3 linked regions of the Drosophila melanogaster genome follow. Changing the gene in region 3 together with the main gene of any one other region gives a genetic interaction. Each region holds a gene or a part of one and is shown on either strand. Other genes may lie near its edges.

The links. Genes that interact genetically often act in the same process or in processes that back each other up.
Region 1: of sc (region 3) and Sumo, changing one enhances a phenotype caused by changing the other (phenotypic enhancement), as found in Drosophila melanogaster (one study listed by BioGRID).
Region 2: of sc (region 3) and chn, changing one suppresses a phenotype caused by changing the other (phenotypic suppression), as found in Drosophila melanogaster (one study listed by BioGRID).

Annotation. Positions count from the first base shown.
Region 1 is NT_033779.5:6,966,024-6,969,236, forward strand, and holds Sumo (small ubiquitin like modifier), read right to left. Parts: upstream 1,622-3,213; 5' UTR 1,485-1,621; intron 1,363-1,484; 5' UTR 1,278-1,362; coding exon 1,005-1,277; 3' UTR 757-1,004; downstream 1-756.
Region 2 is NT_033778.4:15,113,480-15,118,716, forward strand, and holds the start of chn (charlatan), read left to right. Parts: upstream 1-1,981; 5' UTR 1,982-2,209; intron 2,210-5,237. UniProt on the Drosophila melanogaster protein: Probable transcription factor involved in the development of the adult pattern of macrochaetae. Required for accumulation of achaete (ac) and scute (sc) in proneural clusters.
Region 3 is NC_004354.4:394,012-398,296, reverse strand, and holds sc (scute), read right to left. Parts: upstream 2,238-4,285; 5' UTR 2,121-2,237; coding exon 1,083-2,120; 3' UTR 800-1,082; downstream 1-799. UniProt on the Drosophila melanogaster protein: AS-C proteins are involved in the determination of the neuronal precursors in the peripheral nervous system and the central nervous system. Also involved in sex determination and dosage compensation.

The DNA.
Region 1 (3,213 bases), on a different chromosome or scaffold from region 3:
ATACATAATTAAAGGGCCTGGAAAATAAATGTTTTACAATATAAAGTATATATGTATGGTGCTGAGTCATGGTGAGACAGCAAAAAATCTATAAGAAAAATTTCGGAAATTTTTACCCAATACCAATATTAAAAATGAACACATATACATATACATATACAGCCGGTCTAATATAACAGGACCTGTCGACATGACTTCATGTATGCATACGTACATATCTACTTTTTAATTTTTCATCATAGTTTTTTTTTACACAACTGTACCTTTGAAAATTTAAGCACATACGCACATACATCATGAATGGTATGTATGTATACATGGTATACATACACAATCATCATGTATGGCTTGGCTTTCACAAACACACAAGCGTATTACTAGATCCCAATTTTGAGGTTATAGTTACCTCTATGTAATTTCCAGAAGGTTCTCAAAACTGACGTCATTTTTTTTTCTTGTTCAAATTTGAGGTTATGTTTTCCCAGACTTCGCAAATTCGCAGGCGTATATGTATGCTTGTACTTTTCCCGCAAATTCAGTGTTCTCCGATGTGTATGTATATCAATTTGCACGCACACACGCGCACTGGACCCAGTCCTGCTCGCACACAGACGTGCCATGCCAATGACAGTGTGTGTGCGTGCTGTTTAGAAAGAGGGTCACAAAGCGGGAAATTCGCACCGGCTTTTCGTTGCAGAAGGGCAAAAACAAACGCCGATCAGGCGCAGGAATAAATAGCGAAAGACGGCAAATTTTGTGTAGTTTATAAAATGCTTTATTTACCATTTTCTTGTCTGCAAATGTTTTTGTTATTTACGCACACAGACGCATTTAGAATCTACAGTTGTACTAAAAGCATATTCAATCGATTCTTAGGGCCTGGTTTGTTGGATTCTTCATGTTGTTGTTGTTGTGTTTTTGCTTTTGTGGTTTTTCTTGTATTTTTTTCTTTTTCGTTTTAAGTGTGTAGTTGTAAGAGGAGTAACTAACTTAACTAAGTAATCTTATGGAGCGCCACCAGTCTGCTGCTGGTAAACCTCGATGGTGTCGCCCTCCTCCATCTCCAGCGAGGTCGGAGTGTCGTTCTCGTTGATGGGCTGTCCGTCGAAACGGAAGCGCACCACCTGCATGGAGAGTCCGGCACGGTCGCAGTAGGCGTTCATCAGCTTCCTCAAGGGTGTGTGCTTCTTGATCTTGAACTGGACGACGGCGTTGTCCTGGCCGAGGACCTTCAGGTTGATGTGCTCGGTCTCACCTCCCTTCTTTTCGTCAGACATGTTGATTTTTTGGTTGCTTGTTGAAGCTGCTAAGTGGTCAAAAAAGTTTTTTTTTTCTTTTGCGGAGCGTCGAATGCCGGGCGTGCTGTACGAAAAAAAACGAGGCAAAATGTCCAATTAAGTACGCGGAAATTGGTAAACCACACGTAAAAACTAAGCACAATACCGCGGGGCAGCAACTAATCGCGTAGAAATGCAAAAATTTACCTGATTTCCTCAAATTCAGTGCTTGCTGATGGAAGTTGAAATTTATCACAAGCGGCTTCCTTTTGCTTCTGCTACAGCTACACGCCAAAAAAACTGGTGCTGGACCTACCTCGTTAACTTTTGCGATACTATCGGTGTGTATCGATACACGATAGGTAGTCGATAGATTCGCCAGCAACCATCCATTATTGTCACTGTTTCGGTTTTCGGTCACGTTTTTCCTAACAAGTAATTTTGATATATGCCGAAAAGAAAAAATATTCAAACAATTGGACTAAAAAATGTAATGCTAAGCACGCAATCGATTTAAATAGCATTTAAAGCATATTAGAGAGTCAATATATATGTTTAATATAAATATGAATGTTAATATTTAAATAGAAGCATAAGTATTGGGATGGTTCGTAAAGATGAATATTACGGAAAATTAAAAAAAAAGTGATATGAGAATTGCAATTCAAGCAATATCTATACCCATAATTAATTCACATTACTTGTTAGCCAATGTGAGCAGGGCCACATCAAATTATTTAACTATCGGCGAACATAATTGAATTTTTCGAGTTGCTTGTAGGCCAGTGTACGCAGGGCAGCATACAAATATTTAACTATCGGGTACTCAATGGCAAAGGGAATCGAATTAAAGAAAGGCAGAATAATAAGTTACTGGGTAGTTTTTTGTAGCATTCGACAAGATTACGGCTAAAGTTTATATTCGCATGCAAAATACAGTTAGAATATTCCAGTTTCTTTATGTTGCTGAGATAGCAGTCAATTATATCGATATGTCGCCTATTGATATACGCAGTATGCCATTTTAGAAGCAAAGGTAGCGATCAGCTGATACCCATTACTCGTAATATAACTGGGTACATAGGTACTTATCGGGTTGGAATGAAAAATGCTTGCTATTGATATTCAATGTTTCATCCTTGAAATTAGTCCCTTTTACTTTAACATTTTCTATCATATCCGCTTATAATAATTTGCGACATATGTGAATGTTTTCCAATAGAGGTCGCATTTAATGTCCATAGATTTCACAATGCTTTATTTGCAACAAATGTATACATTTTTAAAGAGATTCCAAGGACGCCACTGCAAATCTTCTTATCCAGGACATATAGACCAGTTTAACAAGCGAAAATTGTAAAAAATTCAAGTCATCTTGATAAATACTTAGAAATGAAACAAGTACTTTTTCGTGTAAGGAGGAATTCTTTTCTTTATTTGATCAAATCTAAATGTGACATTGATCTCTGTCCGCTTTTCTTAATAATGGTGTAATAGGAAAAATGCCCTGCTACACAATAGTTTGTTTCCCGTATGTCGCACGGTACGAAAAGGCAATTGCATGGATCCTGTCTGCCAAACAATACAATACAAAAATAAAAGACCCCCAGAATTTTGTCACCGTCCGCAATCCAAAGTGGAGGCTAACCAGCTCGAAAGACCCCTGACCTGACCAACCACAACCAATCGTTACCAGTTACCAAAAGCAAACCTTTGCGCAGTTTTCTGTTTGTTCTATGCGAGTTTCCGCCGCGGATTCGTCTTCAGTACGATAACAATCAGCTCAACGTACATGAAAAGATCGAAATGGTAAATTGGTTACAGACATAATGGATGAATGGAGTAGATTGCCACAGGCCATCGGAGCAGTTCGCAATGTGTACCAAACAGAGGAAAGCTCCCTTACACTAACTCACTCATCCATCCGATCCACGGC
Region 2 (5,237 bases), on a different chromosome or scaffold from region 3:
GAAATGCTCCTCGGCACAACCATTATGAATTGTTTTTAATTGCATTGAATTTGCTTTCGGTGAAAATGCGGCAAATATCCACAAAAATCGAGGCCATCTGTGGAAAAAAGGCAACACGAAAAACCGAACAAAAAATTAAACAGTTAAGTAGGAAAAATGCAAGAAAAAAGAAAAACGCTCTTGTTGTTGGTGACGTTGATTAAAAACTTTTCGAGACAGTTGACGTTGCAGAAAATTCTCAAAAATGGAGATGAAAAATCCTGTATTTTGGTGTGTGTGTGTGTGTGTTTTTGTTTGCGTGTGTGAGTGCAGCTGAAGAGGCAACTGTAAAATTAGGTTAGCAAAGGAGTTTTGGGGTCTGTGGTGTGGGCTATGGGTTATATGGCTGACTATGTGGTCACATGTGCAATTTGATTAAAACTTGGGTGCCGCTAAAAAAAACTGCTGTCCTCAAGTGACGGAAAAAGTGGACGAAAAAATGACGAAAATCTAAAAATGAACGTCGTCATGGCTAAGTGGTAGCCATTTTTTACCTGCAATCGTTTTGCCACTCGACTGAATGGTTTTGCGGCTAGGGCAAAAACATAAAATCCGCGAAAATTAATTAAAGATTGCGCACCTTACGCTAATCTGTTTTAATGAAATTCCCTTTTATGTTTTTTCTTGGCCTTTAAAGTGGAGTGGGTCATCCTACAGATGAATAAATCCTATTTTTTGTCTGCAATGTTCTCTTTCAATGTATCATGTCAGTACTATTTAATTAGTATTTTATTATTAATGTATTATGCAAAGCTGCTGGCCTTCTTAAAATAAGTAGTACATTGTACTAATAAACCAAGATTATAATATTTTATATATCGAGGATTAAAACAGTTTTTGTTTGGCAGCTTTTTGGCAAAAAATTATAAATACGAGTGAGCATTTTAAAAACATTTTACAAATTGACAGAGTTGGCATGACTAAGCATTGTACATGGCTATAATCCAGTGAATATGTTTATTGATCAAATAAAATTAATCAAATAACCGTATGTAGAATTCTAGGTGGTAACTTAAACTCTACAAGTGTAGCAATTCGGAAAGCAGCTCCAAAATAGTTCGCAATGGGTTAGTGACACAGCTAATATTAGAAGGTAGTAATCGTGTATGATGTAATGTAAAATTATTGTAAAATGGAACCGGAAATGTAATTTTTAAGGAGGATTGCAAATGAAATTCAATTTCAATAGCATTCTATGTAATGGAAATTCTTTTAAGCTTAACAAATGAAAGCTTAACAAATAAGAAAATTGGTCTTTAAAAATCATATGTTGTTGTTTAATTAGTCAAATAATAAATTCAACTATTATTATACTTACAGATAATTAAAAAAAATAAATAACTTAAGAGATTTTTTGCTGTGGCCTTTTTTCCGCGCTGAATACAATTAATTCGATGTTTTCGGATGTTTTCGGCGCGACTATCGATAATACCCCGATACTGACAAATAAAAAATAAATTATTTTTTTATTTTAATATACTCTTTCTTAATTTAAGTCAATTAATAAGTCTATTTATATATTAGAATCGTTTTTTTAGCTTAGTGACAAAGTTTTGCCGGAGAGTCCACTTGTTATGCGTGGGAGCGTGAGCGTTGCGGAATGCGCGCGCTTTTTGCAATTGTGGAAAGCGGAAAAGCGGAGGGGTGTCAGAAGAAGAAGCAGGGCGGCGCAGACAGGAAGCTTTTCCCACAATTGCACAACGTCGGAGAGGTATTATTATTACGCGACAGGCAATCGGCGCGGCAACAACAGCAAACTAAGCAACGCATCGCAGACGCAAAAACAAAACTAAATATTACAACATATTTACTTGGCCCAATAGGGGGAGGGACGGGAAATTTTCCGCCCAACCCATCAGCCACCCCAAAAGAGTGGGTGGCGGAGAATCGCCGTAGGATCCGCTCCTCCGCGACCATTCATATTCATTCAGTCACGAAATCTCATTCGGTGTGTGAGTGTTGATGAGGTTAGTTGTGAAACGCGGTCCGTTCTCGTTAAGTCGGAAAACCGAAAAGTGCATCAAGGAAATCATTTAACAAATCAGTGAAGTAAATTAATTTCCAGCTGCAAAGGAGAAACACAAACCTACTAAACAGTGTGCCGCGCGAAAAGAGGCGAAAAAGTGTTGCATACTCCGGGGCTGGCTGCAAAACCTCCGCTAACATGTTGGTAAGTTGGTGAATAAAATATTTTAAAACAAATCGGATCAGAGTAGCATGGAGTATCTATTAATTGATTTTCCTGGGAGGGGGGGCCTTTCCATATCTATTTTCCAAGCCAAGTGATTTATTGATTTTTCCGCAATGCGTTTGTGTGTGTGTGTGCGTATCTTTTTCGGTATGCACTTTTTCCAGAGAAACATCCCACTGGGGGCAGCAACCCCCAACTAAAAAGCGCCAACTTCTATTTTTCCTTCATCAATACTTCACACAAACACACACACGCACACAGTGGAATAAAAACAAATGGTATTGGTGTGTGGATTGGAGCAGGCGCTCTATGCAACGGTATAGCAACCCCCAAACAATGCACAACCCACCCTCTTTCTCGCTCTCGTTATGGCTTTGAAGGGTATTACTATCCCGCTCTCGCGACAATAGCTCAACTGTTTTGGCATTTGAAAACTAACTGCCGCCCCCATCCCCCCGCACCCACCTATCGTAACCCCCTTAGTTTCTCGCTCCTGGGTGGGTGGTTGTTTTTCACAGCCGGAGCACATCATAAATTTTGTGTCTATAACAATTTTTGTTATATTCAACCACCCCACCCACCTACCCACCACCCCAAAAAGCGACCCACACCCCTTATCAAAAAAGTGCAAAGGAATTGTGTTGCACTTTCGAGAGTTCAACTTCCGTTCGTTCACTCTCGCGCTCTCTGGGAAAATAGAAAATAACGGCACAGGCTTGCGCTCTCTCCAAAGAGAGAGATGCATTTTCATTTCGATTCGATGGGGGGTTTTGCATATGATTTTTTGGGGTTTCGGTTTTTATGCAACATATGCGACTACATATGTATGCATATGTATGTAGGAGTTATATAATTTGTATTTGATTATTTTGCCTTTGACGAATTCCGTTTGTGGCATGGTGTTTTCAAATGAAAACTAAAAATGTGTGGTTTTTTGTTGCCATGGGCAATATGGTGAAAATTTGTGGGTGGCAATGTCTGCTGCAGAATGCAAATAACTGCATTCGAGTGCTTTATATATATATTTATATATATAAGATTATATTCCCACGCACATATTTTATACATTTATATATTATATGGAAAATGCAATTTGTATGCAGTCGAATTGCACTTGCCCGGGATTATGCCTATATAAATAAATACTATGTACGGGGTAGGGGGATACCGGCAACGGAATTTCGTTTCATGGCGTCTCCATGGATTATATATAGAAATTAGTTGTGTTTTTGAAGCTGCTTACATAGACTGACAGCTTAATTGCTTTTTACTCGTCGACAAAAATTGATTTTAAGCTCGAGTTAAACGAAGCCAAGCACTGGAAAATGCCTAGAATGCAACGCATATTCCTTTAGATTGGAAAGTAAAGGGGTGGAAAACGGAAGCAGACTATAAGACAAAGTTAAGCAAGTTCGTTAAGCAATAACAACTAAGTGAGTTCGTTAACCCAACAATACATGACAGCATTGTTGAAAACTTTGACTAAAATTGGAAATCATTATATTAGCGATCACTTTCTTTTATTTCCAAAAGAACCTTATGTACTTTTTGAACTTGATTCTTTGGTAGTCACTACATAACATGAAAAAAGCGTAGCGATCATTTGATTTTATTCTTAGCCGCAAACTGACTATTTCCTGTTGACTTCATTTCATTCACACTCCCCACGCTGATGATGATGATTGAAAAAATCACCCAGGGGCCAAGACCCAGTGACTCACCCGACCGCAAGGCAAGCCAAGCGGAGACTGTACCCAACCCAATGCTCAAAACAAACCCAGTCTCGAAAACGCACACACACACACACACACTACCCACCCACTCAGACAAAGTGGATTCGAGTTGGGAGTTCGGAGGGAGTTGCGCATGCGTGGCCGTGTCCCACGCCCACTCGTCAAGGGGTGTCTCCACATAGGAAAAACATTTACGGAAATCTAAAGATTTGCTCTTTGAAATTATGTTAGAACTCACTTGATCTATAGGAAGTCACAACTAGTACTACATTTTCATTGTTTGAATCCTATATCAACGGGATATAACAACATATAGGCAACGTATTATAACAAATGCCTACATAGACAGTATGCAAATTTGTACCAATAATGTCCCCTCTTTTTTCTCTGTGCATGTTGGATGTGAGATAGTGTACGTATATAAAGGGTTGGAGCGAACTATACAGTGGGAACCAGTGATCGCACAACCACCCCCGGGGTTCCCAAGTTAAATGAGACGTGACAAAGTGCAAGAGTTTCGACCCCTTTGAGAAGTGCCAGGCAGATTTCCTCTTCACAAGTGGCGCCCAAAATGGGAAGCCCTATTCCAGCGAGGAGACTTTCTCCCAACTGCAAAACCGAAGAAGGGCTTCGTCTTCAGGGGCAACAGGTTTTGCTGGCCGTAGGAAGCCATGTGCTGCTGTAATTGGTCAGGCTCATTACGGGGATCGTTGGTTATATCACAGCTTGCACCGGGCCAAGGATGGACTAACGGGTCCACCCAGGCCCAGTGAGCACTGCCTCCGAAAGAACCTCTCAGGGGGATTCGAGGTGGCCCACATGTTGTCCACTGACGGCTGCTCACGAACCGGTTCCAGTCACCAGGCAGCTCCTTTATCCGCGATCATCATCATCTCCATTTCCATCACCACCATCATCATCATCTCCTTGGCCGGCCACTTCCACTTGAGTGGCAATGAAGGCAAAGTAGGGTGCTCAGGCTGCTCCATTTCGAGGGTTAACCTGTTTGCAGTTACCCTACGGTTGAGGTATGTGGGTTTCAGTGCACCTTTCGGTAACTACTTGATTTCGGGAAATACGCTTATGTCTTTCATTTTAAATCTTTAAAGAGCAGTCATGTGTACATATTGACTACTGAACTTAATTTTAACAAATGAAATAATATTTCATATATTATGATTACTTCATGAAGGAACTTAAAAACTACTTCCGAATGATAGGGCATTTCCAGGTCTGTCTGGCCGAATAGACATTATGCATCTTCTTCACCTCAT
Region 3 (4,285 bases):
TCTGTGATGCCCTTTAATGTGTCAAAATATAGTCTATAGTCGCATTCTCCCATGCGTTTGTTTTTCTAATGCAACGTGATTTATTGTCTGGCCAGTGGAAGAGGTTTATTCCAACGGACTGACATCTCAACGGTGCGTGGGAGTGAAGAACTTAGTTATTGTTTGGGGTAAGGTGTTTGCATTTAACTTTTTCAGAAGTGTAAAAAGTGGGTAAAATACTTTTTTGTAAGGCCGTACATTATAGGGAATACTAGGAACTATAGTTAAGCTGAGCAAATTCAAAAGAAAAAGTCTTAAAAGTGTTGATCGGGTTAAAACTACCTCACTTTATATATTTAAGTAGTAATGTATACATAAATACGAACTCCTCTTATATTGAATAAATTGTAAATTGCTTTTTCGACACTTTTCCTTTTTTAAGTTCAATATCTGATCTGAATTTCAAAGTCGTAATTGTAAAACTAGTAACCTTTTAAACTAGTAACCTCGTGGCACGTGTCACAGGTGTCATCGTCTTACCTGCGATAATTTGACATTCTTAGAAACTACCTGAAGAAATAGGAAACTACTGGTCTAAAACCAAATACTGATCTATGTTTTGCGTTATCTGTAATTCGTATTAATGATTTTTGGATATAAGAGTGATTTTGTAAAACCAATGCAAAGCAACCTTAATTGTACATAACGGCTGCACATGGTCCCATCGGCACTGCAAGGCAATGCAAGTAGTACCCGAATGTTTTACAAACCTGATCAATAGATGGATCCCCTTTGAGAAAAGAACTTAAATATGATTTTTCGTTTAATTTTTTCATTTTATTTTTCCACCAAAAACTAATTAACATAAAATTGTATTAGCAAAAAAATATGTTTTCGTTTCCATGCTATAGTTATTTCATAAATATATAAATTTGAAACTGGTCTCGTGGTTCTTAACAATGTAAAAAAATAGCTTAAAGTAAGAAAAAAAAATTGGGGGTATGTTGTTTTTGTATTAGTGTTATTTACAATTTGAGGCACTTGGTTCAACTCAACATTGACTAGAAGAAAATAGGGCGTGGTGGTAAATTTTGGGGATTAAGTCACTGCTCCTGCCATAGAGAGATGTAGTCCAAAATCTCCTCGTCGTCGGGGGTGCAGTCCTCCTCGTCTAATTGAAAATGTTCGTACGGTTCAAATTTTAGCTGAAGTTGGGAGTGCGTGTGTAATTCGTTGTCCAGATGATCCAGACGATCCAGGTGGGTGGATATTTGTTGGGGAACTCCTTCGTAGGTGCCTGAATCAAAGGACATGCTGGAGTTGAATGATGATGTTGGCGAGTGGCAGGTTTGCTGGTTTTTGCTGGTGGATACGCATCCTGCATCTCCACCTGGTACGGATGTGCCCACCAAGTTGGTATTTAATGAGAGCGCTGTCAGCGGTTGGTGATTGAACTGCTGCCTCTGTAGCTGCTGCTGTTGTTGCAGAGGACTGACAGAGATCGTGTTTTGATAGTAGGTATTATGCCCTGAGGAACTGCAAGTACTGCTGCTCGAACTGTGACTGCTGGACTCATCCAAACAAAGTTGAAGCTGGGTGACTGCATTGTTGGCACCAATATTGCTGCCCCCATTTAGGTCATCCACCAGATCCTGAAGCCTCCGGATGTACTCGACGGCAATGCGCAGTGTGTCTACTTTGGAGATCTTTTTGTGAGGTCCTCGACCACCACCCTTTGTCAAATCCGTGATTATGGATTGTGGTATATGTTGCCGCAACCTGGCGAAGCTGTTGTTCACCTGCTTTACACGATTTCGTTCTCTAGCATTGCGCCTTTGGACCGACTGGGATTGGTCTACATTATATGGAGCCGGCGAGGAACCAGGCGATAGAGATGATACTGATTCAGAGCATCTGGTCAGTGCCATACCCCTTGGTGTATACTTGCGAGTCTTAATTGGCATTGTGCCAGCGGGTTGATTTTGATTGCCACCGGGAATTAATGGACTAGGGGCTGGCATTATGTGCTGATAACGAAAGATCTTCGTTGCCGAATTGATGGTCGTTGGAAACGTTTCGTTGGTGGACAGCACACTCGATGACATGGTAGTGCTTTTCGTTGTATTATTATTATTTTTCATTAACACACTCGGAGCTTTCTTTAACTTTCCGGATAACGATCAACAGAAAAAAATAAATGAACAGAGTACAATACTTGAACTTGATCGTTTGACACCTTACACAAGAATGAGTCCCTTCGTCCTAAACCCTCGCGTTATGTACCCTTTATGCAACTCTCTGCACAACACTCAGGCAGAGAAACGGGCGAGAGAATCGGAGAGAAAGAGAGAGAGAGAGTGACGGCAAGAGCTACCTGCACAGGTAGGGAACTCGAAGTGAGTGAGCCACAGGTAGTCTCTCTCTCTTTCTCTGTCTCAGGTACTCGAGTATCCCACAGGAAAACTGTTCTCACTCGACAGTCCAAAAGAAACACTCAAATTTTAAACTCAAAATATCAACTCGAAATATCGAAAAACGATCAAGGTATCTGAGTGAGGGCTCTTTTTGCTACGGCACGCCAGCAATTTGATTTCTGTGTTAATTAACTTAGCAAAAGTCGCGATCGCCAATTTTATGTGCAGCTCACGCACGCTTCTATTCATTAGCGCCGGACGGATCCAAGGGATCGACAGAAGATCCTGGGATCCTCCTTATTAGACATTCGGAGTACGCTCCCTAAAGGTGTTCAAACAATTTCACTTATTTCTCCAATTAAATTATCAAAAGGATCACAATTTTTTGTTAAGTAAATCAAAGGGATGTGACACAAGTTCTAGAAGGAAGTTTGCAGTGAAAACTGCGGTTCTTTGTTTGTGGCTACTTGTGTTTTTTCTAGAACTACTGGGATGTTGCTTTAAATATATTAATTTGTTTGGGAATAATTTAGTTCTGGGTTTGATTAAATGTTCACACATTTGACTTTTAACGGTGTATACTTGTTATTTGTTCTATTACATAATGCGGTCTAAGGTAAAGAAATACTAGACATACATGAAGTTTCATACATCTTCTTTGAAATAATAAATTGATTATTTCAGACTGTTGTAACTTGCCATTGGCCACTGTGTCGTGCTAAACGGCGACTGTAAATTGTAACTTCCGCTCTGTTCACAAAAATCGGTTCATTTTGTCACGATCATCAATCGATGAGCGAGTGAAAAGATGCCAAATCGGCGACCAGGTGTAATATTTTTATTGTCCTCAACTCGTTACCCTCGTTTGCTTCTGCCAGCATTTTTCTTTTGCCAAATCATCAGCAATAGCACTTCTTCACTTCTATTTGGCAAATTTTAGATCCCCGGATCCCAAAATCAAAAACCGAATCCGAAACCAAAACCAAAGCGAAAACCGAAATCCTGATAACAAAAAAACCTTTTCAACCATGACCAGCAAACGGCGCTTCTCTGTGTTGTTCCTATAAATAAAATCCTTTCACCATTTCCAATACCTTTTTTGCATGCTGAACTTCGCTTGGAGTCTCCACTCTTTAGTTTTTGCATTGTAACGGAGGGATCGGTAGTTGGTTTCCATTATTTTACCATCATTAACACTATCATTGTTCTTGAGTGTTGCAGAAATTTTGGCAGCACAATGTTCTATTTAAATTTTCGCATTTTCCAAAATTCCATTGAAGCATTTTAATAAATGGTTGGGAGAAATGCCGGTGACATGCCTAGAATAGGGTTGAAGTCGTCATTAGAAACTCCACTCAGTGAACTGTGTGATCTATGGTGTATGCGGACATTTAACTGAAGTGGAATGCATATAATGCATATACGCGATCCTTTTTTCCTTGAAGCGGAGAGTCATAAGCAAGGTTGGTATAATCGCGTGTTCGGTACAATTGATTAATCATAGGTCCAATTCCGGTCACCGCTTGCATGTAAATGCCACTCATACCTTGAACAAGCATTGGATATTACCTTCAAAATTATAGTACCTAGTGTAGGAATCTTTTAATTTTGAATGATTTAAATTTTATATTTCATAAATGCTTCATTTCCTTTAGTATATAATATTGTTAATTTAACTCTATCTTTGTGGAAGTCTTTTATATATTTTCGGAAACTTAATAATGTTTTTTTTATTATTTCGAAAGACTTGTTCTTCAGGAAAACCATCAGAAAGCAAGTTAAGTAACCTTTCGATGTTGTCCCGACAACCAGTAAACATTTTTTTCGGACTACCTTGTTTATATCCTTTTTCCAGACGCAACGCTTGGAGGATTTAAATGCGTAATTACTTT